3 linked regions of the Drosophila melanogaster genome follow. The protein of the gene in region 1 interacts with the protein of each later gene in a pairwise test. Each region holds a gene or a part of one and is shown in the gene's direction. Other genes may lie near its edges.

Region 1 (7,071 bases):
TAGCCATACCACAGGCTTTCGGAACGGAGAAGCCTCCACCAAGTCCCACAGGACGAAATGTCTCAAAGTCGCAGAGCACGCCGCAGGCTGCTGGACCTTCGAATATCAATTTCGAAGGGATTCCCAAGTCGCTGAGCGAACAATATGTCCGCCAGCTCAAGGAGAGCGACGTCTAGTCAGATTCCCAGTCTCCAGTCCAGAATCTAGTCATAGGAGCAATCTATAAAATCGTTGTACGAGATAAGCGCGTGCATTTTGGGGTCAACCCGAATTAATTATTTAGATGTTGGCACAAAAGATGTCAGGTTCTCAGAACTCATCAATATTTCTTTTTTTGTACGTTAATAATTAGCGACCGTGTGCAGTAAAGTTGAGATACTCAACGAGCCATTTGCGAAGCAGAATCAGATTGATCTGCGTAAAATCAAAAATCCAAATCTAAGGTGTAGTCACTAAATCCACATTTTTTGTTTACGAAACATGCAATTACCTATTTTTATATCTAACCAAATATATTTTAAATATATGTACATTTTAAAAATATATCAAACGCTTTTCATTCGGTGCAATAAATTAATATAAATTTCCGATTACCGATTTTAAGATAAGAACCTCGGTACGAAAATAATGGGTGAACTTTTAATGTTAAGTAAAACTCACCTTTAAATTGATATTGTTTGCTGATTTCACAAACGAATTTGTGGTTTAAAAGTCTCGTAAAACAAAAACTTCTTGTAAAACCATGATCTATTTTAATCACAATCTTTCAATAATTGTATTGTAATCACAACGATCAATTTATTCTTATTTGGACATTATTGTGCCGATTATCAAACTTTGCCTTATCAATGGGTGAAATTCCAAAGCTTATCTGTGATCCTCATAGTCGTCCAACTCCGGATAGTCCGTATCATCGTCATCATCGTCCACCACGTTTTCATGGGGTATTTCCGGAGGATCAGCGCCAGTGTTCCAATAGCGATCCTCTTCGGGATGCGTGAATTCGAAGTCGGGCTTATCCGGATTCACGTAGGTAATGCAAGTGGTCAGATTCTGGGCCGTTTCCAACATTTGGGGTATGCTGTTGACGAACACCACTCCACACTCCGCAGAGTGGATGGCCTCCTCCGGCAACTGGTTGTTGATTTTGCCGTAGACATCGATTCCGACAGCGATGATGTCGTGTAGCCGGCGGATCGCACTGAGAGCGTTTACTGTACCCGACAGGATTTTGCCAACGGTGGTCTGCTTGGCGGCAATCTTCTTGCAAATCTTCACAAGACTACTGACATTGCGTTTAACCTCCTTCACAGCGGCCACTGTTTCATTCTGAATGCGCATTACCAAGGCCATGGTGCGGGAGTAGCAATCAACGCCATCGTTAATGGCCTGCAGACCTATCTGGAACTCTGGGACCAGCGAGTAACTGCAATAGGCGGCCTGACTTCCGCGGCCCCAGTAGTTCCACATGTATCCCAATCCGGCAATGGCTGCGGTCACGATCTTTGGTTTGTTCAGCTTCAGCAGATTCGTCTCCAGTTGGATGGCCCTCTCCACCAAGTCGTCAATGCCGAACTGTGCCTCGTCAATAACATCCTGAATAATCTCCCTGAGATCCTCGAATTCCGCCCTCTGATTTGGTGTGAAGTCGGGACTGGGCTTTCCCATGATCTCGTCGACAGTGGGCAATTTTGTGTCATACACCACTCGAGGTTTCTCATCCAAGTAAATGGAGAACTTTTCGCGAAAGTCTTCAAATGCCCGTAGGTAGTTGCTATCCAGTTCAGGCTCCTCCGCGGGATTCTGATCACTCCCATCGCCGCTCTGGAGCCTCAGGCTGTACAGATAGTTGTACTGCGCCTGAAACTCTAGGTACAGTGGACGCAAAGCAGCCACTTCCTCGCCAGACAACTGCAAGTCCACCTGTTGCTTCTGCAGCAGAGTCTCCAGTTCCTGGTTGGCTTCACCAAAAGCGAAGAGCAGCACACAGCCCAGCAGAAGCAATGCTTTTCCAATCATTTTGCCCGGGCAACTGTTTCAGTACAACTGAGGGAGGGATTTTGACCAGCTTCATTATCGGAAGAAGTATGGCTCGTAAAACACTATCGAAGATACCACACTTGGTTTTTCTTAAGTGGCGCAGGTTGATTAGGCTTATCCGGCTTATCGCCAATATTACGCTATATATAAACCACCACGGGGCAATGTTTTTCGAGAGAAAATTTAAATTTCTATTTGGCTTTTTATGAATGGTCGAACTGATAACGATTAAAGATAACTATGCTCATAAATATTAGGTAAAAGTTGATGTAAGTAATTAATATTTTCAAGTCGACACCAGACCACAGTTAATAGTGCATTTGACTTTATTACATTCTTTCTAGTTTATCGCACACGACTCAATCTGCGTAAAGAGGTCATCGAAATCCATCTTCAGATGATGGTAGAAGAGGCAACTTGGTGTGTCCAGGTCTTCCAAGGACATCTCCAGCACAATTGCATCGCACAGCTCCAGACTGCTGATCATCCGCTGATTGATCCTCCCGATTCCAGCGACAGTGCATAATAAAACTCCGGCGTGATTGAAACCAGACTGCTTAAGCTGCCAGATTCTGCAGGTGTTTGACAACTCACTGATCTCCCGCGAAGCCTTACTCAGAAAATTAGCCTCCAGCACGATTTCCTCCTGAAAATGATCCATGATGTGGTCCAGAGAATTCCTGCAGATACTGTACTTGTCCACCAGCTCTCGATTGAAGTGTGCCACCTGGAGTTCGTACTTCTTTGAGCATGCCCGCCACTCATCGCTGTACTGGCTTCCAAAAAACATCTCCAAGCGTCCACTAACCACTTGCTGATGGTCATCCAGTGTGTCCTTGGCTTCTTGAAGATACTCCAACTTCTGATCGAGGGCCTGTTGGGTGACGTTCCAGATCCTGGCTGCACTGGAGCTTTGGCTGGCTATAAGCTGCTTTGTGGACTCATAGAGTGGTCCATTTTGTCCCCAAATTCTTTGAAAGTGGCCATGCACCTGTAAGATCTTTTCTTTAATATTATACTTTACACAAATAATGCTATTTCATACACAAAGAAGCGACTGAAGTAAAAGCAGTGACACCCGTACTGTTGTCATCTTGAAACTAAATCGAATTGATTCCCGAAAAATTGAAGATACCATACCTTTTATTTATAGATCGCCAAAGGTTGCCTTAATTAACTAAGACTAAGAATTAAATTCTTTTTTGGGAAAGAGTTTTAACGCTTTAACAAAAATTGTTATTGTTTATAAAGAAAATATTGGGATACCGAAAAATTTAACAGCGTAAGTTGCTAAAAATACCCATGTCATATGTGATCAATATGAAACTTTAGGGTATTTAAGTTCCGAACAAAACTTAAATTAAGTTCTGAATTAGACAAATGGCTCATTTGTGTCTTATAATGTTTATAAGAAAGATTCTTATCGCATGATGACTGTGTAACGACTATATGCTTCAAGTTAGTCATCAACCTCAGCTTTCTTTAGCAAACTTGAACTGTAAATATCTCCCCTTTTACAAATAAAAGTATAATTGATCCCTCCATTATTCAACGAAGGTGAGAAATTTACAAAAAGAAATTACGAAAATTTACGAAAAATACGATGACCAAATAGAATACTTTGAATAGTATACCAAGTTCATGTACTAAAACATCATCTCAGTTCATCAAGTTAATGCTCAAATTGTGTTTCGTAGTGATTGCTATGAGACACACTCTTATCGTGACACTGGATCTCTTGACATATATAAGAAGTCAAGTGTAGGGCCAGTCGCACTAGGAAATATAACAGAAAGATGATGAGTCAAACTCTGGGAGTACTTGCTCTGCTTTTGCTGACTTTGGCAGTGAGTTAATAGTAACTTTCCATTTATAGTACTTTTCAAATTCATATGCTCCTTTATTTCAGGACTGCCAAGAAGTCGGCTATGAAACAAAGATGGAGACAGAGACTACAAACTATGGACCTGTTACCATGGTTGTGGACAATCTGGCAGAGATTGCCGTAAGTGTCAGCGACGACACCTCCATTCAGTTGGAGGAGAAAATAAATCGCACTCGGCAAAATATTGCCGGTAACATTGAGGTCCTGACCGCCAATGCTATGGCCGAACTAAGTGATGTGATCTATGAGACAAACCAGTTAGTGGTGTCCAATCCCGATTGCAACCCAGCCTGGAGCCTGGATGAGCTCAATGAAAATGTGACCCATCAGCTGGGTGGGTGTACGGAAGACTTGGGAAGCCTTTTGGAAGACTTCCGTCTGGAGAGTCAACTGGCTTTGGCCAGAGTACAGGAATTCGTACAGCAGATTGCCCACTTGCCGGCCAAGTGCCAATTGCTGGGGGCTTCCCCGCTTAATCCTCTAGCTTCAGCTGGCGGAAGTGTCTGTTTCATTAACGCGATGGCGGAAATCAATCTGGGGATGGCCCAATCCATGCACAATGCATCCCTAATCCTGGTGCAGACCCACCAGACCGCCGAGGATCAAGTGGTGCAGGCTCAGCTGTGCAGTGCCATGGTGGTGCAGCACATCGGCGACTATCTGCGCGAGGAGCAGGATCAGTGCCGGCAATCATAGTGGACCGACCCTTCCCGTAAGCAATAGTCCTAAGAGAGAACCCAGGCAAAAACAGCCAATGGCAAATTTATGCACCCGCAAGATGACAGGGGCCGAGGACTCGCCACATCCTGTTCACTTATTGCTTATGCATGACATTTATTTGACAAGTTTTTGATTGATTTTACAGCTGCTGCAGTCGATCTGGTACAGCTATCAGCATATTTGCAGGCACAGTGAAGCCTTTTTAAAGTCTGGCTTGGAATTGAAATAAAATCAATTTCAAATCACTATGTTCTTATAAAACGCTAAGAGGCGTGTGTTAAACCAAGGAATTTACACATTTTAAAATGATCAATAAATAGTGAAGTAAATTACTACTTAGTATCAAGATCTCATTTCAGTTTGATTCGACTTAGAGAGGTTGCTCTGTAATTGCATATATATACATATGTACATATGTATATTGGGCAACTTTGTGGCTAATCGCAAGTTCACTTTTCAAAGTCGCATGCATACTAATTGGCCATTGTTCGGCTAAACTGACCAATTGCCCAATGGACTTGCCCACGACACGTGGCAGCCACACGATATAAGATATAGTAGCATACGGATCCGATCCAAATGGGCGACAGCTGGCCCTAGAAAGAGATAGAGACGGAGATCGAGATCGAGATCAGCCAGTTTTTTTCCTCTTCCTCTCGCTTCCGCAGTAAGCAAAATTATTTTGACCTGCCTACCGCACACTGAGCGAATATCCGAAGCGAGTATCTGTGCATCCGTGAGATACACCAAAGCATCGCATCACACATCTCTCTCGTCGTTCACAGTGCAGCAACGAAATTTCTACGACTCTTTATTTCGGCTCTTGCCGCAATTTCACTAAGAGTCTCTGAATTTTATCTTATTTTTACTGCTTGTAACAGTTGTTGCCCTGCTGATGATCGCCTTGGTAGTGTAGCTGCACAAATTCCGCCTACTCCAACATCTGTTCAGCTCCTCCAGACATCTGACGGATTTTGATGACGTAGATCGCGCGACTCTTGTCTATTGAAAGCCGAGCTCTGAGCAAAACAATCTTTTTACATCTGGCACATCGAAAAGGCTAGTCACTGACTATTAAATTATAAGCTGAAATGGTTTTTACTATAGATTTTAAAATAAAATCATTCAGTGCGCCAACAATTTATTTATGTTGCAGGCAAAATTCTGTGTTATAGCATTAATCATCGAGAAATATAGTTTAAAAAATATTTCTATTAATGCCTAATCAACGATGGTCATTCCCATACGATCAGTGATATAGGACTTGACTGCTTCGAGTGCAACCTCTTGCACATGCCGGTTATTTAGTATTAGTCTTGCGACATCTCGAACGCGTACATTTCTAACTTCGGATATGGCCCTGATCACGTGCTGCTCCAGTTCTCGACGCTGACTCTCCGTCAAATCGTTCAAAATGACCTCACTTAGAGATTTGAAATTTCCTGGAATTAAAAGACTGATAAGAATGATAGTCACCATGTAACGCTAGACACTCTTGCCCTCCGTAAGTCCGTAGGCGGTGAGACCACCGATGGCCCCGCCCAGTGCCAGTCCCCGGGGGCCCAGCAGTAGTCCTCCGATCAGCGCAGCGCCAGCACAAATTGCAGCTCCCTTGCCGGCCTCCTTGATGGTCAACTGGATATTTTTATCGTCGGCCAGTATAGCCAGGGCATTGATTATCTCTGAGATGGCTGAATCCATATTTTCAATTTATGTATATTTCCGTTACAAAGTTTTACTTCTTTCCCGGTGACGATCTTTCTAACAACTGAGTACAATCACGTTGTTATTTCGTTATCAGTAGTGCAATAATTGTATATCCGCCACTGTGGAGGGGAGTTACTCGATACAAACCAAATCATCGAAATCAATTTTAATCTATCATTGCAATCAAGCTTCGCATATGTACATATGTAGATTGAAAGCTTTTTTTTAGGAGTACCCGATATCAGAACCCAAGTATAAAGAAATCATAATCTTATGGCAGTGCATCCAATGATTTAGCAGGCATGGAATGGAATTTTTTGAACCGCATGAATAATTACATTTCCAGTTGAAATCCCAAATTACTGGTTAAAAATACCACAAAGGCTTCCAATGCGGCACATTGCACTGTAAAATCACGCTTGAAACACTCCACAGCATTTGTAGCGACACCAACTATTTTTATAATAGCTGCCTTCACAAAGTCAACCAATTCTGCCAGGACCCTCAAGGTCAAATCCGCAATTTTCTCATACATCCAGTAGATAACTCCTACATTTCAAATACAATTGATATGATAGGTAGGTAATCGTTTAGTGTTTTATACTCGCCTTCTGTAAGTTGACCGTTTATGTTTATGTTTATGTTTATATGCCGTTGGCGGAACTTACCTTCCGAAGAACCTTCAAGGTGTTCCCTTTCCCTTTTCCTCCTCGCCGCGT
Region 2 (9,892 bases), on another chromosome or scaffold:
GCACATAGAAAAATGGTTCAAAAATGTAGGCGTGTCAGTTTTGGGCGGTTTTAGGGCGGCTTTACCTTCTAGCTAATGTGTCGACGTTCATACGGACATGGCTAGATCGACTCGGCTATTGATCCTGATCAAGAATATATATACTTTATATAGTCGGAATTTAACGAATCTGGTATACTCTTTTACCATACAGTTTTGGCAAGTCTATAGAAATTTCCACGACTAATAAAAATATGAAAAAACTTCACATTTTTCCAAAGGTCAGGCGTAGCAGCTCTGGGCGGTAGAATAGGTGTGCCAACATGGGTCAACAAACTTGAGCTGCGTAAATGTCTTAATCTCAACCTTTTATAGTTCCTGAGAACTCGAGGTTCATACGAACGGACAGACAGAAGGGCGGACAGGGTCAGATCAAAGACACTAGAATAACAAGATGCGTAAGGGCCATACATTGGTTTTTCACTAAGCAGCTACTTGTTTGGTGACGGCCAAGATTGTGCTCTTTTCTCTCGAATAATATTGAGAGCGTAAAATAATAGACTTTGGTTGCTTGTGTGAGTAACGTTTAAACGTGAAAGTGTATATGTGTGCGTACTTGTGCTAGAAGACGATTTTCGGGCCGAAATCAATTTTGATCTAAGAAACGAATTAACATGTTTGGAGTTTTCAACAGGGGACTGGGAGAAGTTTTTTTTTACAGCATTAATATTAGGTTCATCAATATTTAAACTTATAAATGAAAAAAAGTTGCGATATGGAATAGTTATTATTACTTTTGTAGTTTAACACATACAGTTTAATACATTTAAAAAAATATATTTCATAAAAATAATACGAATAGGAAAAAATTATTTTTAAAATAATGCCAATTGACCAAAAATAATATAGATTTAAATTCCAAAAACTTCTGAAGTGTAGGGCATATTTTGTCAAATTTACAATGCATGAGTATTCGTGTACACACAAAAAGTTTTCGGCTGTCACTGTATGCGTAAAATGAAGTTGCTGGCTGAAGAGCTCTCCGAAATCTGGCTCTTGAACAAAAATTCAAGAGAGCTGGAGCCAGCCCAAAAAATATTTACTTTTAATGGTCGGGAACGCTTCCTTCTGCCTTTTACTCTACGAGTAACGGGTATAAAAACAGTAATTAAATAATATGAAGTAACAATTTATTGTATTTTAAGGGCCTGACAGCTGTTTACATCCTGTGATAGTTCTGTATATAGTTCTCCTGACCAAAATGGTTTTGCAAAAAGAATTGACATGACTTAAAACAAAAACTGGAATGGATGCTATAACCGAGTCCCCGACTATCAGATACCCCGTTACTCAACTAGAAGTGTGAAAGATTTCAATTTTTTTGGAAAATCGGTAAAAATTGAAAAAGAAATAATTATATTTAAACAAGAAATATATTTTTCAAAAAGTTTGGGCGGTTTGTGGGCCTGACAATAGGTATTTTGGCATATCAATAGATTTACAAGATCAATAAAATAGTATGAAAAATACCAAAACATTTTTGTGTGAAAACCAATTTTTGGGCGTTAGAGTGGGCGTTGCAAAACGTTTTTTGATAAATCGATTCTCTCCACGGTACATTTGTATACACTTTAATTAAGGAACGGAATCCATATCTCTTAAGCTACACATTAGGTTAAGTTCAGAAGGAACTGAACGATTCCTATTGACGTATGACTAATAATAAATGATAAACTCTAATAAAAAAAAAAGGTAAATCGATAGAAATTTAAAAGACTAATGAAAATATGAATTCATATGAAAACGCTTTGTCATACGGACAGAAAGTCGGACATGGCCAGATCAACTCGGCTATTGATCCTGATCTAGAATATATATTTTTTTTTTGGAACCGCTTTCTTCTACCTCATACTTAGTTTTCAACGAATCTAGTACCCCATTTTACTTTACGAGTAACAAATATATATTACAGCGAACCCCATAGTAAATTTCCTTGACTATCAGATACCTGTTACTCAGCTAGTGGCCAAGCGAACTATAAATTTGAACATTTTTATTGCATATCGATAGAAATTGGAAAGATATACATATAACAAAATGAAACACAATCAAAATATATGTAAATCACTAATAGGCTATTTTTTTATATTTTCGCAATTTTGCGTTTAAAGAGGTAAAAGATGCTTTCACATTCCTTTTCAGTTTTAAGCTTGTTACATGAATTCAAATGCTTTCTATCCTACAAAATTTAAGATGTCACAATATGTATGTATAGTATACACAGCCGTTTTAGAACATTTTCTATCATTTCTCGTATGTACACAATACTTATAATTAATAAAATTAAAATGAGTATACGCACAGTTATTCACGACTCGCAAAAAGTTTCTTTAAAATTGAAAGTTCTAATATTTAGGTTTTCTAGGCACTATAAGCTATAAACATTTTACCTTTTTTCTTTTTGCTTGGGCCCTTGGTATTTACAAGAGTAGTTACTTGTAATACAAGGGGTTCAAGTGTTTTTTCAACTGACATTGTGCGAATTTCCAAATTTTTGGGATCCCATTTCAAAGCTATCTGTCCGAAATCGGTTAACGTGCCCATTTTATCAGGTTTTAACATAAATTCTTTAACCGACGACGCCTTTTTCGATAATATGTAGTCCACTGATTATTAATAGTACCAGGATTGTAACTTTGCAGTGCTGTAAAGAATGCGGGCTTTAAATATATCATAGTCCCACTGAGCCACATGACCTACGTAACGTAACCAATATATAATGAATAAGTTAAATAGTTTTGTAGTTTTGAGTCCTGTGAGTCATTCTTTAGTAATGACTTTAAGAAAATAATTAAAATTGATTTTTGATGATTGAACTCTCGTGAAAAATATGTGATATTCAAGTATTGAAGACGATTGAGAAAAGTTTAATAATATTTTTAATTTTTACCAACAAAAATATTTCATTTAATGAATTAACATATTCCACACATATCAGGATTGTTGTTTTCTATGTTTATTATTATACCGGTTACTTGTAGAGTAATAGGGTATACCAGAATCGTTTAAAAGTTCCTAATAGGCTGATGGAAGCATTGGAACAATTGATCGGGATCAGTAGTCGACACGATCTGGTCGTGTCCGTCTGTCCGTCCGTATGAACGTCGAGATCTCAGGAACAATATAAGCTATAAAGCTTAGATTAACCATATGATATTAACCTAACGCCTAACGCTGCCACGCCCACACTTTTGAAAATTGTGTTGATATATATTTTCATATATTTATTAGTTTTGTAAATTTCTATTGATTTGTCATAAAACTTTTTGCCACGCCCACTCTAACGATACAAACCGACCAAAAAACGACCACGCCCACATTTTTGAACAATTTTAAATATTTTCTCATTGCATTCACCAATTTCTATCCGTGTCCCAGAAAAATTATGATATTTCGCGATCATATTGCCTCTAGCTGAGTAACGGATATTTAATAGTCGGGAAAGTCTACATAGCATTTTTTCTTGTTATTATTGAAAAAAAATCCTTTCGACATATAAACAAAATGTAACAAAAATGCATGACTACTTCAGAAGATTATATCGTTCCCGGCGGCTTGAAATTATTATGACAGCCTAACATAAAACCTGTGCGACAAGCATGCATAAAAATTACGTATATAAAATAATATATTCCTTAGATGTAAAAAAAAATATTTATGTGCATGATTTTTGAGTTCCCATTCTATACCAGCATCGCTTAATACTGGCATGTCACATATAAAATAATATGACATCTGCCTGTTATGAATACATATATTTTTATGTTTGAGTCAACATCGAGTTGCCGATGTTTGGAAAACATCGATGACATCGCTGTTGGCATCGAAATATGTCCATATCTAATATATAGTTCCATTCTGTTTTATTGGATTGAGTAAAGTTAGGTAATTTTTTATAAATGTGTTTCTTTCTTACATATTAAATACATTTTAATTATAACGTAGACAAAATGCAAGGTCTTGGTCTGCAAAGTCTTAAAAAAAATCCAGCTGTAAGTTTTATGATTATATTAAGTTATCTGTTGATTGCATAACAAAAATTTGTTCAGTTAATTCCACTTTATGTGTGCGTTGGAGCGGGAGCTATTGGAGCCGTCTACTATATGGCTCGACTTGCTACTCGTAATCCCGATGTCACTTGGAATCGCACATCAAATCCCGAACCATGGCAAGAGTACAAAGAAAAGCAATACAAGGTTAGATTTGCTCCTTAATATTCATATTCTATTTTCATATTTTAATGGGCCAAGAAAAGCCCTCGACCGTGGTTTTGTTAATAACCAAATTTGCTTATAGATATATGTATTTTTGCAATTTTTTACTTTTTTGGCGATTTAACCGACATGCCATAACCATTACACATATATATTTCACGAATATATACTATGTTGTAGTTGTAGTTATACCCGTTACTCGTAGAGTAAGATGTTATACTAGATTCATTGAAAAGTATGTAATAGGTAGAAGGCAGAGTTTTCACCATATGAAGCCTATATATTCTCGATCAGGATCAATATCCGAGTCGATCTGACGCTGTCCGTCCGTCTGTATGAATGTCGAGATCTCAGGAACTATACAATCTAGAAGGTTGAGATTAAGCATACAGATTCTAGAGAAATACCCGCAGCGCAAGTTTGTTGGCCTATGTTGCCACGCCCACAAATCTTCAAAAACTGCCACATTTTTTCACATTTTTATTAGTTTTTTAAATTTTGATTGATTTCCCAAAAATTTTATTCACCAATATCTATCGATATCCCAGACAAATCATGAAATTTCGCTATGGCATTTTAACTAGCTGAATAACGGGTATCTGATAGTCGAGGAAGTCGACTATTTTGTACAGTGATACTTTTTTTCACTTTTATTATTTGTCTCGCAAAACAATTCCCAATAACCGTAAACACCGCCTGTTAACAATCTCTAAACGGAGATATTTGCGTATATCAACTAGCTAATAACAAATTATTAAAACACCATACTCACCATTCTTTATGGCAGAAAAAATGTATATATATATATATATATGGGTAATTTAGGTAAATAGGTAAAATAAGTGAAATTAAGAAATGATGGGGTGTCATTAGTGCGTATTAAGGAATAATTCAACCCTTAAATAAAAAGGAAGAGGGATATGCTTCAATATGTAGTGATTGCGACTTAAACGCCAATCAAACCCTTTAATTTTATCAATTTTATAATAATCTAGTTATTTAAAACTATGAAAAAAAAATAAAGATCACAAAAATGTTCTAACATTTAATATTTTATAGCAATTCGGACGCAATGCGGGAGAACTTATCATTTATTTTGTCGACAGTGACTAACCAGAAATGTAGGGATCGCCAGAGATTTACACAGGGTCTAAAACGTTCGCTTCAGATAAATTTCTATCAAATTCTATCACTTCACTAGAATAGTAGATTCTTTAAAATGCATGCAACCAGTTAATGGATGCCTTCCTGACCTTAAAAATTATACATATTCTTGAACCGAGATGAACCTCGTAAACCTCCAGGGAACTATTGAAGCTAGAAAGTTGAGACTAAGCATGTGTATTTAAGGGTCAACTACGCAGTGAAGGTACATAAGTTCCATTATATTACCCACAAGCCCCGCAAACACTCACTGTTACTTAATAATGTTTTAATTTTTTTTTGTTTTTGCCTTTCAAATTTCTTTTGCTAGGTAAACAATTGTTTGCGTAAGTAATGTAAAACTGATTGCGATCGTTCAGTGTCAGTTTACTAAAATCTAAAAATATTTAAATCTCTTAATTGCTGGTGGACTTATAGGTTTACTGTAATTCGTGTTTTTTAGATGAAATATATAATATTATAATATAATATAATAATATAATATAATAATATAATATAATATAATAATATAATATAATATAATATAATATAATAATATAATATAATATAATATAATATAATATATAATATATTGAATCTTGCATTTTTTTTCAGTTTTATTCGCCTGTGAGGGATTATTCCAAAACTAAGAGTGCTGCCCCAAACTTTGATGAATAAATTACGTTTCCCTAGCAGCTGCAATTTAAAAATGTAAAATGAAATAACTTCAAATTATAAATAAACATAGTGGATTTGAAAGCGTATGTTCTTATAGATCTTTATATTTATATAAGATAAAATAATTTAGAAATGTAGTGCCCTTTTTTCATAATACACTGCGCGTCACCAGGCTAGCACCCCTTGAGCAAAAATTTTTGATGTGATATATTTAGAAAACTGTTTAGACCTTTGGAAATTTGTTTCCCTTTTTTTCCCTTAAAAGTTGTACAATTAATTCTATAAATAAAAAGTTAATATGGGATGCAGTTTGTTTATAGATTTTGATTTAAATAAAAAAGAAGCACAATCCATAAATGGGTAAACCAAATTGCGTCATCAGGATAGTTAGTTATAATTAAATTAGAATATTCTTAAAGGAATGTTTATTTTTCTTAATCACCCTTTGAATCAGCGATTTGCTCGGGTTTTCACCACTTTTTTCTCGAATTTGGCCGTAAGAGTAGTGGGAGTTGCAAGGTCTTTGACGTATGGACCAGGGATCTGCCGCGTTAAAGACAATGTTATTGCCGCCTTTATAGTTTTTTCCTTAAGTTTAGTTGTTTTTAATCAAATTTGTTACAGTTTTGCGATGTCTGCGGTTTTTCTGCAATTTTATGAAAAGACAGCCCGCGTTCATAGAAAGCTATGATATCGGATTTTTCCGGCAAGGATAACAGCGTTCCTCTTCCAATTTTTTTCGCAAAATTAAACCAAACTTTTCAATTGAACAGCATAAAAAATTTTGTTGTCCCACCTTTCAAGTTATGGAAGATATTCAAAACTGCAGTTGGGGCGATGCAATATAGGTGCCCAATTTTTCGCCGAAAGTAAAACAGAGCAGAATTAAAAAGATAACGGTTCTTCTCAGGACCTCTTTTTTATCCTCAAAGAGAGAGGGAATATCAGTGAACAAAAAACAATAACATTGATAGATTTTCGTGCAATGGCCAAATACAGAACATAAGGAGAAACGGAGCCATGTTAATCTAATAACGAGCTAATCTGATAACGAGCAGTGAATTTAAGGCACCTGTATATATTAGGAAAGGCATAGATTATGAGACGAAACTATGATTATGCCGGACTCTAGGCGATGCCTACCCCGGCAGAGCCAACTCGCATGCATGCACAGGGAGGTGATCCTGTTACTTAGCTTGTGAAAATGCGAAGGAGATATTTCATAATTTTTCTGGCATGTCGATAGATATTGGAGAATTTAAAAACAAGGGAGAATGCTATATTCGAGTTTCCGTCTATCACCTGTTAATCAGCTAGTGGAAATGCTAACATGATATTTTATTTTATCGATTGATATTGGGGAACAAAATAAGAAAAAATTTAAAAATAGGTTAATAGTGTCTGCTTGACTGTTTTGGGCGTTTTGTATGTGAAAGGAAGAAGGGGCGTGGCCGATGTGTTGTTGGTATACCTATAGAAATTGGCAAGGCAAATAATAAACAGAAAACAAATCCAAACACACAAAAAACAAATTCGAAAACTTTTCAAAAGTGTGGGCGTGGCAGTTTTGGGAAGCTTGTGGGCGTTAGAGTGGGCACGGAAAAAAGTTTTTTGGCAATCTATAGACATTTACAAAACAAATAAAAATAAGACAAAATATAAAATGTGGGTGGTGGTGAATTGATCACGATAGGTAACTTGTAATTAATTTTTACTGGTCGAAATGTTCTGTTTTACAAAAACGAGAGACCAGCCTTCGAACGCTCACATATACCGTCCGAACAGGTGATAAGAAAGAAATACTAAATACGAATGATGCTTCCGGATGAAGTGCCGGGGGGTGTATTCGAATACATGATGGTGGCCATATCTCCAGGGGCAATGTTTTTGTTTGCCGCGTTCCATTTATGCAAATTGGTGGGTCCAAATGGCTGCCAGTGTAGATGTCTGTAGAAAAATACTGAGTTCTCAAAGGAGTTCAGGGGAGAATAGTTTTTCTTTATTTCAGCTAATATTCATGTATACCAATAAAGTAAAAAAAGAAGTCATGTAGTTAAGTACGGTTGTGTGGCCAACGGTTCCTAAATGAAAGAAATGAAACTCCCGTTGGAAAAGGGAGCGGGTGGATTCCTTCTTTCTTTTAGGAACGCCAGGAACTGGCACACGAAATGGGCGTAAATATCACGCTCGCCTTGTAATGTCCTAGATTGCAAAGGGATTCGAGCAGCGGCAGTGGTTATAGGCGCCGGAAAGCATCCATCATAGCACTGCGCTCTGTGCTACATGGCACCCGTTTTGGCTTGGCATGACACCTGGTTGGATCAATTCTGGGGACACATCCGGACATAGCACAACTTGGCAATATGATATTGGTGAACACCGTACTAGAGGAGTCAGCAGTCAGGCAGCTCTCGATCCGCATCCAAAGCTGCTCCTCGACGCGAAACACCACCTCTATCCGTGGGGTCTCCGTATGAATCGGGGTGAGAGTCTCCTTTGCATACCCTCTCATCGCCAACTCCCAGGATATGGAGACCCATGGCATCGTCTAATAATCCGTCTTCGGAGCACCCAACAACCAAAGACACTAGAATAACATGATGCGTAACGCCATACGATTTTTTGGCACACGATTTTTTCGCCATGGCTCTAGAGGTGGCTTCAGGCTCTCTCGAATTTTGTTCGAGAGCGCGAGAGCGGAGAGCGCTACAACGATCAGCTCTTTTCTACCCATACAGTGATAGCAGACAACTGTATGTGTGCACACATATGTTCATGCATTGTAAATTTGACAAAATATGCCCTTCACCTTAGAAGTTCTTGGACTTTAAATCTATATTATTTTTGAGAAATTGGCACCATGCGAAAAATTCTTGTTTTGAATTAAACAGTTTTCATATTTTTATTTATTTTATAAATTTTTATTTTCTAGTACGTATTATTTTTATGAAATATTTATTTCTCAATTTATTGTCTTCTTTTTGGAAAATTCATTTTAAAAATGATCCAAATTTGTTATTTAAAATGCACATTAGATTCAGTTGTTTTTCATATTCATTTTTTTTTTTTTATATTCCAATTTGATATTTTTAAACAGCCCGCAATTTCATCATATTGCTCCGAAATTGGCCAAAACTCCCCAAATATGTAAATTCGTTTCTTCGATCAGAATCACAACATGCACACATACGCGTTCTCGTCTCTCTCACACAAGCAAGCAAATTCTATTTTTAGACTTCTTACACTCTCAGCGTAAGCAAGCGGGCAGAGGGCCATTAGCCCCGATGTCGAACCATATGTTGACGGTGGGCAAGATATCCGTCGCTGTGTGAGAGAGCACTGCCGAAAGTCGACGCTGGTACTCGGCTCTGGTGTCTCTTGGTTTCCGTTCGCGCTAGTGGACTGACGTCGCCCCTTCCGACGATGGAGATGCAGCATGGTGTGATGTGCGTCCCCTCATACTCGGCAGCGACACCCACTTCGGCACGACCCGTCGGAGTGTTGGTGTACCAAACAATTTACTTATTATTAATGAGTACCGCCCGGAGCCGCCGTTCGTCATCAAACCGGGGGAAACGCGAATAAGTCCGAAGGAGAGAGTGGAGGATAGAACAGAGCAAAAACAAGAGAGAATGCTATAGTGGAGTTCCCCGGCTGTCAGATACCCGTTACTCAGTTAGTGTGAATGCGAATGCGAAATTTTATCATGTTTCTGGGGTATGGATAGATATTGGGGAATAAAATTTTAAAATGGTTCAAAAGTTAGGACGTTGTAGTGGGCGTGGCAAAAAGTTTTTTGGCAAATCGATAGAAATTTA
Region 3 (6,789 bases), on another chromosome or scaffold:
CTTGAAAGCCTTTCCACGACACTTGGCACACACGCGCTCCTACTTTAATAATGTAACTATCCCGAGAGTTTGAACCGCAGACTGAACTTCAGCCGCTGTTAGATGTTGAACAGGGACACCACCTAAATCACTGACACACAAAAAGGACGAAAACGATTGCGTATCACATCACTAGTTTGGCTATATGAAAATCCTTTTACACCATATGCACAACATTTACGTTATTTGTGTAACTTTCTTTGCCTACGAAAACTAAATTTTACTTTGTAAAACCTATTGAAAGTCTAAAAAAAAGAAAACAAAAAATATACAAAAAAAAGTAACCTGATAATTTAAAGCCAAAATTTAATCTGTTTGCTCGGTCGAAAGTCGTTTTCATCTTTTCCAACATTTATCTTTTTTGTAATAAACCTACCCAAACACTCAAAGCTGTAATGTAATTTTGGATTTGCCAACCACCCACATGTCCCCGCACACCTATCATTGTATTTTTTAATAAACAAACAGACACACACAAAACCTAAAAAAAAAAACAAAAATGTGAAAAAATACGGCATGCATATGTAGCACGTTAATTTCGAATTGACCTTTTTGTATGCCAAGTGCAACAGACGAAGGCGGCGTTTTGGGTTCCAGTCTAGAAATTCCAAGCAACAATCTAATTGCAGGCTGAAATGATAATTTAAAGCGATGATATGTAAATATTAGTCAAATTAATATGTGGACGAGGATTCGGAAGTGTAGAGGATTTATATATATATATATATATATGTGTCTGGTGTACCAGAAGTTGCTCAATGAAATTCAATCCACAAAGCAAAGTTAAACCGAAATAAATTTTAAAGTAATGTGTAGAACGAAATGTCATATTTTGTAGAATATTTTCGGTGTGTCCTGACAACAGCAACATATTATGTTATGTAGGTATGTGAATGATTGATTGAGTGTATTGTTAAAACCAGCTGGTGATAATTAATGAATGATATAGACATGATATAGATATGCTCTAGACAACAAATATTAATAGTTCGAAACGAAACACTTCACTTCGTCGAAAACCATCAAGGAATGTTAGATTAATGTGTAATTCTCTGTTTTTGCAATTGCAACAAAATACCACAAGCAACTAAGGAATATATACTTATATGCAACCATAAATATATATACACATATATGTTTATATCCACAACAAATGAAAGACAAATGGTCCACAGAGCAAAATGAGTCGAAGATGAGTGGATGTGGATGTGGATGACGATGGATGATGATTAGCTTACGATGTTTCCTCTCCGTGTGCATTCTTTGATAACTTTGAGAATTGTCTACCAACTACACACTTTTGTATAATGTTAACCTTGAACTTGTGTTTTGAATTTATGTATTAACTTTAGTTTAAACATTGTGACATAATGTACGATGTATGTACATACTGTATGTACATACTGTATACTGTATGTATGTGTATATATCCAGATTATCTATATGCATATTCGACAAGGTCCAAAGCCAACGTATTCCAATTTGCGATCTGCAAAACATTTTACTTAGTGCAAACTTTAAAACGAGTTAACCTGATACTGAAACTGAAACCGAAACCGAACTCTAACTGAATCAAAATCTAAACCAAAAATTAAAAAAAAAGAAAAGAATTTAAACAGGAAAAGCAGGACGATCATCTGAATTGATCTGATTTGTCGGAATTCTTTGGTTTTGCCAGCTGCAATGAAGAGGTTTATTTCATGTTTGGGTCCCATAGCTAATGCCTGGGCTGGGCGGATTGTGTTTTTACATACAATACAATACAATAAAATAAAATAAAATAAAATAAAATACAATACAATACAATATATAGATATATACACATATATATTACTTAGCTGTATGTTAGTTGGATAAGCCTGTAGAGAAGAGGACATTTGAAATATCTCTAGCGCGTAATATTAAATTTATACATCTATAAAGATAAAGATACCAGATACAGATACCAGATATAATTGTAAATTCAAGCAAATCAATCAACAATCCATTGAGATTTGTATATAATATATATACTTAATTACGTATATCTAATTATTATACCAGCACACACACATACACCACCACAAGCAGACGCCACACACACACACATACACCACACACAAACACAAACACACACACACACACACACAAACAATATATAAATATTACTTACATATTACATTATATATATAAAAGATAATAATAATAATGTATCTATATCTATACCATATACAACAATTACCATACATATTACTTCTGTGCGCTTCTTGCGATCTAAGGAATTTCAATAAAAACAAACAAAAATACCTAAAAAGTATAAAACCGACGAAAAATACAAAAAAATATACAAAAAACAAAAATATAAATCCGTTTTGCGCATTTATCACTTTTGGGCTTCGGACATGGAACATGGGACATGGGTGCTCCTAGTTCGAGAAGTTCGTTGGCAGATTCGCCATCCATGGCCATAACCAGTTGGCCATTGGAATGGAATAAAATGGTCAACTGTTTGTTTCCTCCTTTCCAATTTTATGGCTAACATCTGCCGATTATGAGCAAGCGGAGCTGGGGATCCGCCGAAATGCATCTTGGCCGACGGAACGGGACGGAACGGGACGGAGTTGGGACTCCGTCTTAAGACAGCCTCAACCTCGACAACTTCATCTTCATTTTCATCTGCAGCCGGCTGGCTTTCGCTTCTTCAGCTGGTTTCACTTTTTGTACAATTTAATTCGCATGTGTTTTTCGGGTAATTGTATAAGTTTTCTACCAATTGCACTCGTGTAGCGTCGTCTCTAGCGTCCATGCTATATGACCCGGAGCGGGTCCATGAAGTTGTTGATAAGTTGGAAATATGACAAATATACATTGGCCGCAGGTGAATGGATAGCCATGCGGCAGCGACTTTGTTGTCGGAATCTTCTGTATATTGGTGATTTATGCATTTTGATTAACTTGTTAATGGCCCGAAGAGTTTTTCGCGTGCCTGAGAAGATACTAAGCGAGTCGAAAATAGACAACACGTCCATGAGCAGATGAGCCAATGGCTTAAAGAGCACTTGCCTAGCTAAATAATAAGAATGTCTAGCAAAAGGTATTTAGCATATTTTGCTATTCGAATTGCTGGCATCAAGATGAAGCAATGATGTCTCAAAAACACACATTAATAAAGAACTAATTTATTGGGCATTAAAAATCAAGTATACGACTTAATGCTATTAAGTATACGCACTGAAGTTATCAAAAATTAAGTATTCGCGCCATCGAATTCGGAGAAAGTTTCGAAAAGCTTTGAGCTTTATAGTAGCTAGCTTTTGTATGTGTCTATCAAAGCGCCGTATCTACATTTATTATACATATCGATACTATGTAAAATTAGCTTACTGTTTTTTTGGGTCTTTATTGACATATACCATAATTTGTGTAAGAGTATAATTAAAAATAAATAGATTATAAGAGTTAATTTTTTTTAATTTATAAGCTATGTTTAGCTTTTTAATTTGACTTTTGTTCTATTTACCCACTTTCCAGGAGGATTAGATTCGCGGAATAGCTTTAAAAAGTTTAACAGTAAAAAGTTTGGCGCATAACAAAACATTTTAATTTGGAATACATTTTTTGAATATTTTTTTATTTTTGTTGGACTTGCTGTTACTTAAAAATATTGCAGGCTTAAATAGCTCCATCGAGTTAATTCTATTTGGTCCCACTGCTCTGAGCAGTCGAAAGTTTAAAGCTGGGCCGAAAGCTTTCGCTAACTTCAGTGTCGAACGCGGATTTCAGACGAGCGGTGGCCGAGAAAGAGAAGAAGAAGTGATTTGAGCCGAGAAACTGAAGCTTGCAACACACCGAAAACACACACACGAACACGGCACACCAACACACACACACACACTAACCCGAGGAGCTGAAATCGAACGCGAAGAACACTGAGCGAAACGTGCAAGAGAAGTGATTAAAGCTGCTACCCGGAGTTGGAGTTTGATTCATTGATCGACGAACCGAGTGCGTAAAGCCCGTAAACTTTGGATTGCAAATATACACACACGCATACAGGCGCAGCCAGGCAAGCACACACTCACACGAACACACCGCCACACGCACACACTCTCGCAGAGAGTTACCTGAATAACCGCCGCGCCTACCACCGTCGACCAACTACCGCGTTTTCCTTTATCTCACTCCACACCACTCCGCCTACCACCCACCGCCCCTCGCCCGCTTAACGGTAAACGGAGTATCTCTATGTGTGTGTATCTGTGTATGTTTGCCCACGCATCCGCCTGTGTGTGTGTTTGTGTGTGAGTGTGTTGTCTTTTAGTGTTTTCGTTTCGAAAAAGTTGTGTGTGCATTTTCCAAAACGAGAGAAATAATAGTCAGTGAAGTAACGAATAGAAAAGAAAAAAACGAAGCAGGCAAAAACAAGGTCTCGATTATACAATAAACAGCATTTTGATTTTGTTTCTGTGGCTGGTGAAAAAGCGTTCTTTTGTAAGGAGAGGGTGAATATAAACACAAATACAGAGGCAATTACGAAGAGACACGCGCACACACTCACAAAATAAGAAACAAAAAAAAAAAAAAAAGTGAAATAACCTTCAGGAGCCGAGCTTGTGCAACTTCCACTTCTCGGCCATGCCACTAATTATTTATGATTTCGGTTTAGTAGCGAGCTACGTTAAGTTCATTCAGTGACAGGTTTATTCACCAAGAACACTTACCTCGTGCCACCCCAACGAACGCCCCCCATTTTCCGAGCATTTCCCAAACAATTTTCCCACCCGCTGCCTCCCGCACCACTTTGTACAAACGTGCTGCAACATCGGCTGCGAATGCATTAGAAATTTATGCGAAAATACATAACTAAGCGAGTGCCGGAGCAGCATTTGACCGGAGCCTAAAAACTGGCTTTTCCTCCTCCCTGGATTTTCGTGCGCTGAATTTCAAATATACATATATGACTGCAGTTTCGACGGCTTTCCCGCCTGTCAGCCACTCAAGTCATCATCGAAGCCAGCTGCATGGCCCACTGGGGATTCGTGGGGGTCACAGTTAATTGCCAGCACAGCCCAATTATCAGGCGATATTGAAATGGCCATGGGCCATATAATCGCTCGCTAGTTTAGTCCAAATCCCACAAACTAGGCAAAGTTGGTCCTTAAATTGCAAATAGGCTGTTAAATATTAACGGCCAGCTATTGGGGTTTTTGCTTTAAAAGCACTAAAATGATATTATCTAACAACTTAGTTAACCAAATGATGCAATACTGCAGAGCATTATGTTGTAGAACTTAAACATGATAGTCGAATCCATTATGATAGATCTTTTAGTTTTTACCATATACTAGACTAACAAAAATTTACATACTTTGCCCCACTGTGCGTGTCCGCTTAACAGAAACTGACAATTATTAATAAGCGTTTTAGCATTTGCCGCCGCACAAATGTGTGTGCACACATAAGCACACAGTTGTGTGTGTGGAATTTCCCTAATAGAAATGTAATTTCCCCCAAACCCCAAGCCGCCCCACAAACTGGAGTTATTGTTCGGGCAGTTGGCCAGCTTATTGGGGTCATTGGAGTTGGCCAGGCACGACAAGAACAACAATCGCTGAATGAGACCATTGTCAGGGCATTTGGCCATTCACTTAATGCTTCAGCAAACCGGCCATTATATAAATGCATTCTCTGCTCTGCTGTTTCGTCGGAAGAAGAACGAGCTGACTGCTGCAGATTATAATTATTATTCGAGGACTGTGCGACAATTCGACACAATTTAGTCGAAGATAATGCCGGGAAAATTGCTGCAATTTGCGCTCAACAATGGCCAACGGGAAATTAATCCCGCTGACGTCAGGTGAAACTAGGCCCACAGTTGCGCCGACTAATAGCCAATGATTGGGAAGCTATAGCTGTAGTAGCTGGAGGTTAGGCCTTGACGCCTATGACGCATCCGACATGAATATAAACAGCAAATATTTGGGCGACGCTGACTGGAAGATACACAAATCGGACCGCTTTCCGCCTGGCACTGTTTGTTAGCTCTGGGATTGGAATTCGGAATCCGGGCCAGAGATCAGAAGGCAAAGGACAATGCCAACAACCTCGTGCAGCTCGCACGGACTGGCGCACACACGGCGTATACTTAATGCATGGCATCTGAATGCTCGGTTTCGGTCCGTGCCAAGCGCAGCCCAGTTGGATTCGTTTGCCCACTCCGGCGATGTAATGCCAATCCTGCTACGGTAGCAGGAGGGCTCCTGAGCTCCTTCTGTAGTTTTTATGGCAACTGAAGCCAAGTATTTTGTATGTATTTTCGGCTGTTTCTGACTTGTTTTTTTTTTTTTTTTTTGGAAGCAGCCTGGCTCGGCAAAGGCCTTGGCATGTGGGCGACAATTTCGCATTTATTATGCAACAGTTTGGCGGATTGAGCGTGTAGCGTAAACAAAGTTGCTACGAGCATTTGCTGGCCCAAATTGGAACGGCTGGCGATGGGGGAATCGCATTTATTCTAGACTCGTTCGGTGTCCGACTGAAAAGTACCCTGGAGAGCCAACCATTGAGCTGAATTCTTTTACTGAGTATATTGCATATGTATGCTTAAAGGTATAACCATTCTATTTAATTGCTTTTATCTAACGCAATATATAGTTCGTATGTGCTATTCAATCAATAACAATGTCACATGTTACCTTGCATATATAGGAGGGATTATATTGCGCTGGTTGCCAAACATCCTGCCTTTCGATAGTAAACAAGTTGTATAATGTG

The links.
Region 2: the proteins of CG11672 (region 1) and ND-MLRQ interact in a two-hybrid assay, tested with the Drosophila melanogaster proteins (one large-scale study listed by BioGRID).
Region 3: the proteins of CG11672 (region 1) and Gdap2 interact in a two-hybrid assay, tested with the Drosophila melanogaster proteins (one large-scale study listed by BioGRID).

Annotation. Positions count from the first base shown.
Region 1 is NT_033777.3:8,287,314-8,294,384, reverse strand, and holds CG11672 (uncharacterized protein), read left to right. Parts: upstream 1-3,806; 5' UTR 3,807-3,836; coding exon 3,837-3,887; intron 3,888-3,949; coding exon 3,950-4,621; 3' UTR 4,622-4,990; downstream 4,991-7,071. Other genes in the region: CG9626 (uncharacterized protein), read left to right, coding at 1-176; CG31463 (uncharacterized protein), read right to left, coding at 868-2,019; CG31464 (uncharacterized protein), read right to left, coding at 2,381-3,031, 3,086-3,133; nazo, read right to left, coding at 5,867-6,087, 6,145-6,346.
Region 2 is NT_037436.4:23,335,446-23,345,337, forward strand, and holds the start of ND-MLRQ (NADH dehydrogenase (ubiquinone) MLRQ subunit), read left to right. Parts: upstream 1-3,880; 5' UTR 3,881-3,989; coding exon 3,990-4,031; intron 4,032-4,088; coding exon 4,089-4,235; intron 4,236-6,011; coding exon 6,012-6,074; 3' UTR 6,075-6,157; intron 6,158-9,892. Other genes in the region: alpha-Cat (alpha catenin), read right to left, coding at 2,430-2,601.
Region 3 is NT_033778.4:7,732,611-7,739,399, reverse strand, and holds the start of Gdap2 (Gdap2), read left to right. Parts: upstream 1-3,777; 5' UTR 3,778-4,023; exon of another isoform or gene 4,024-4,246; intron 4,247-6,789.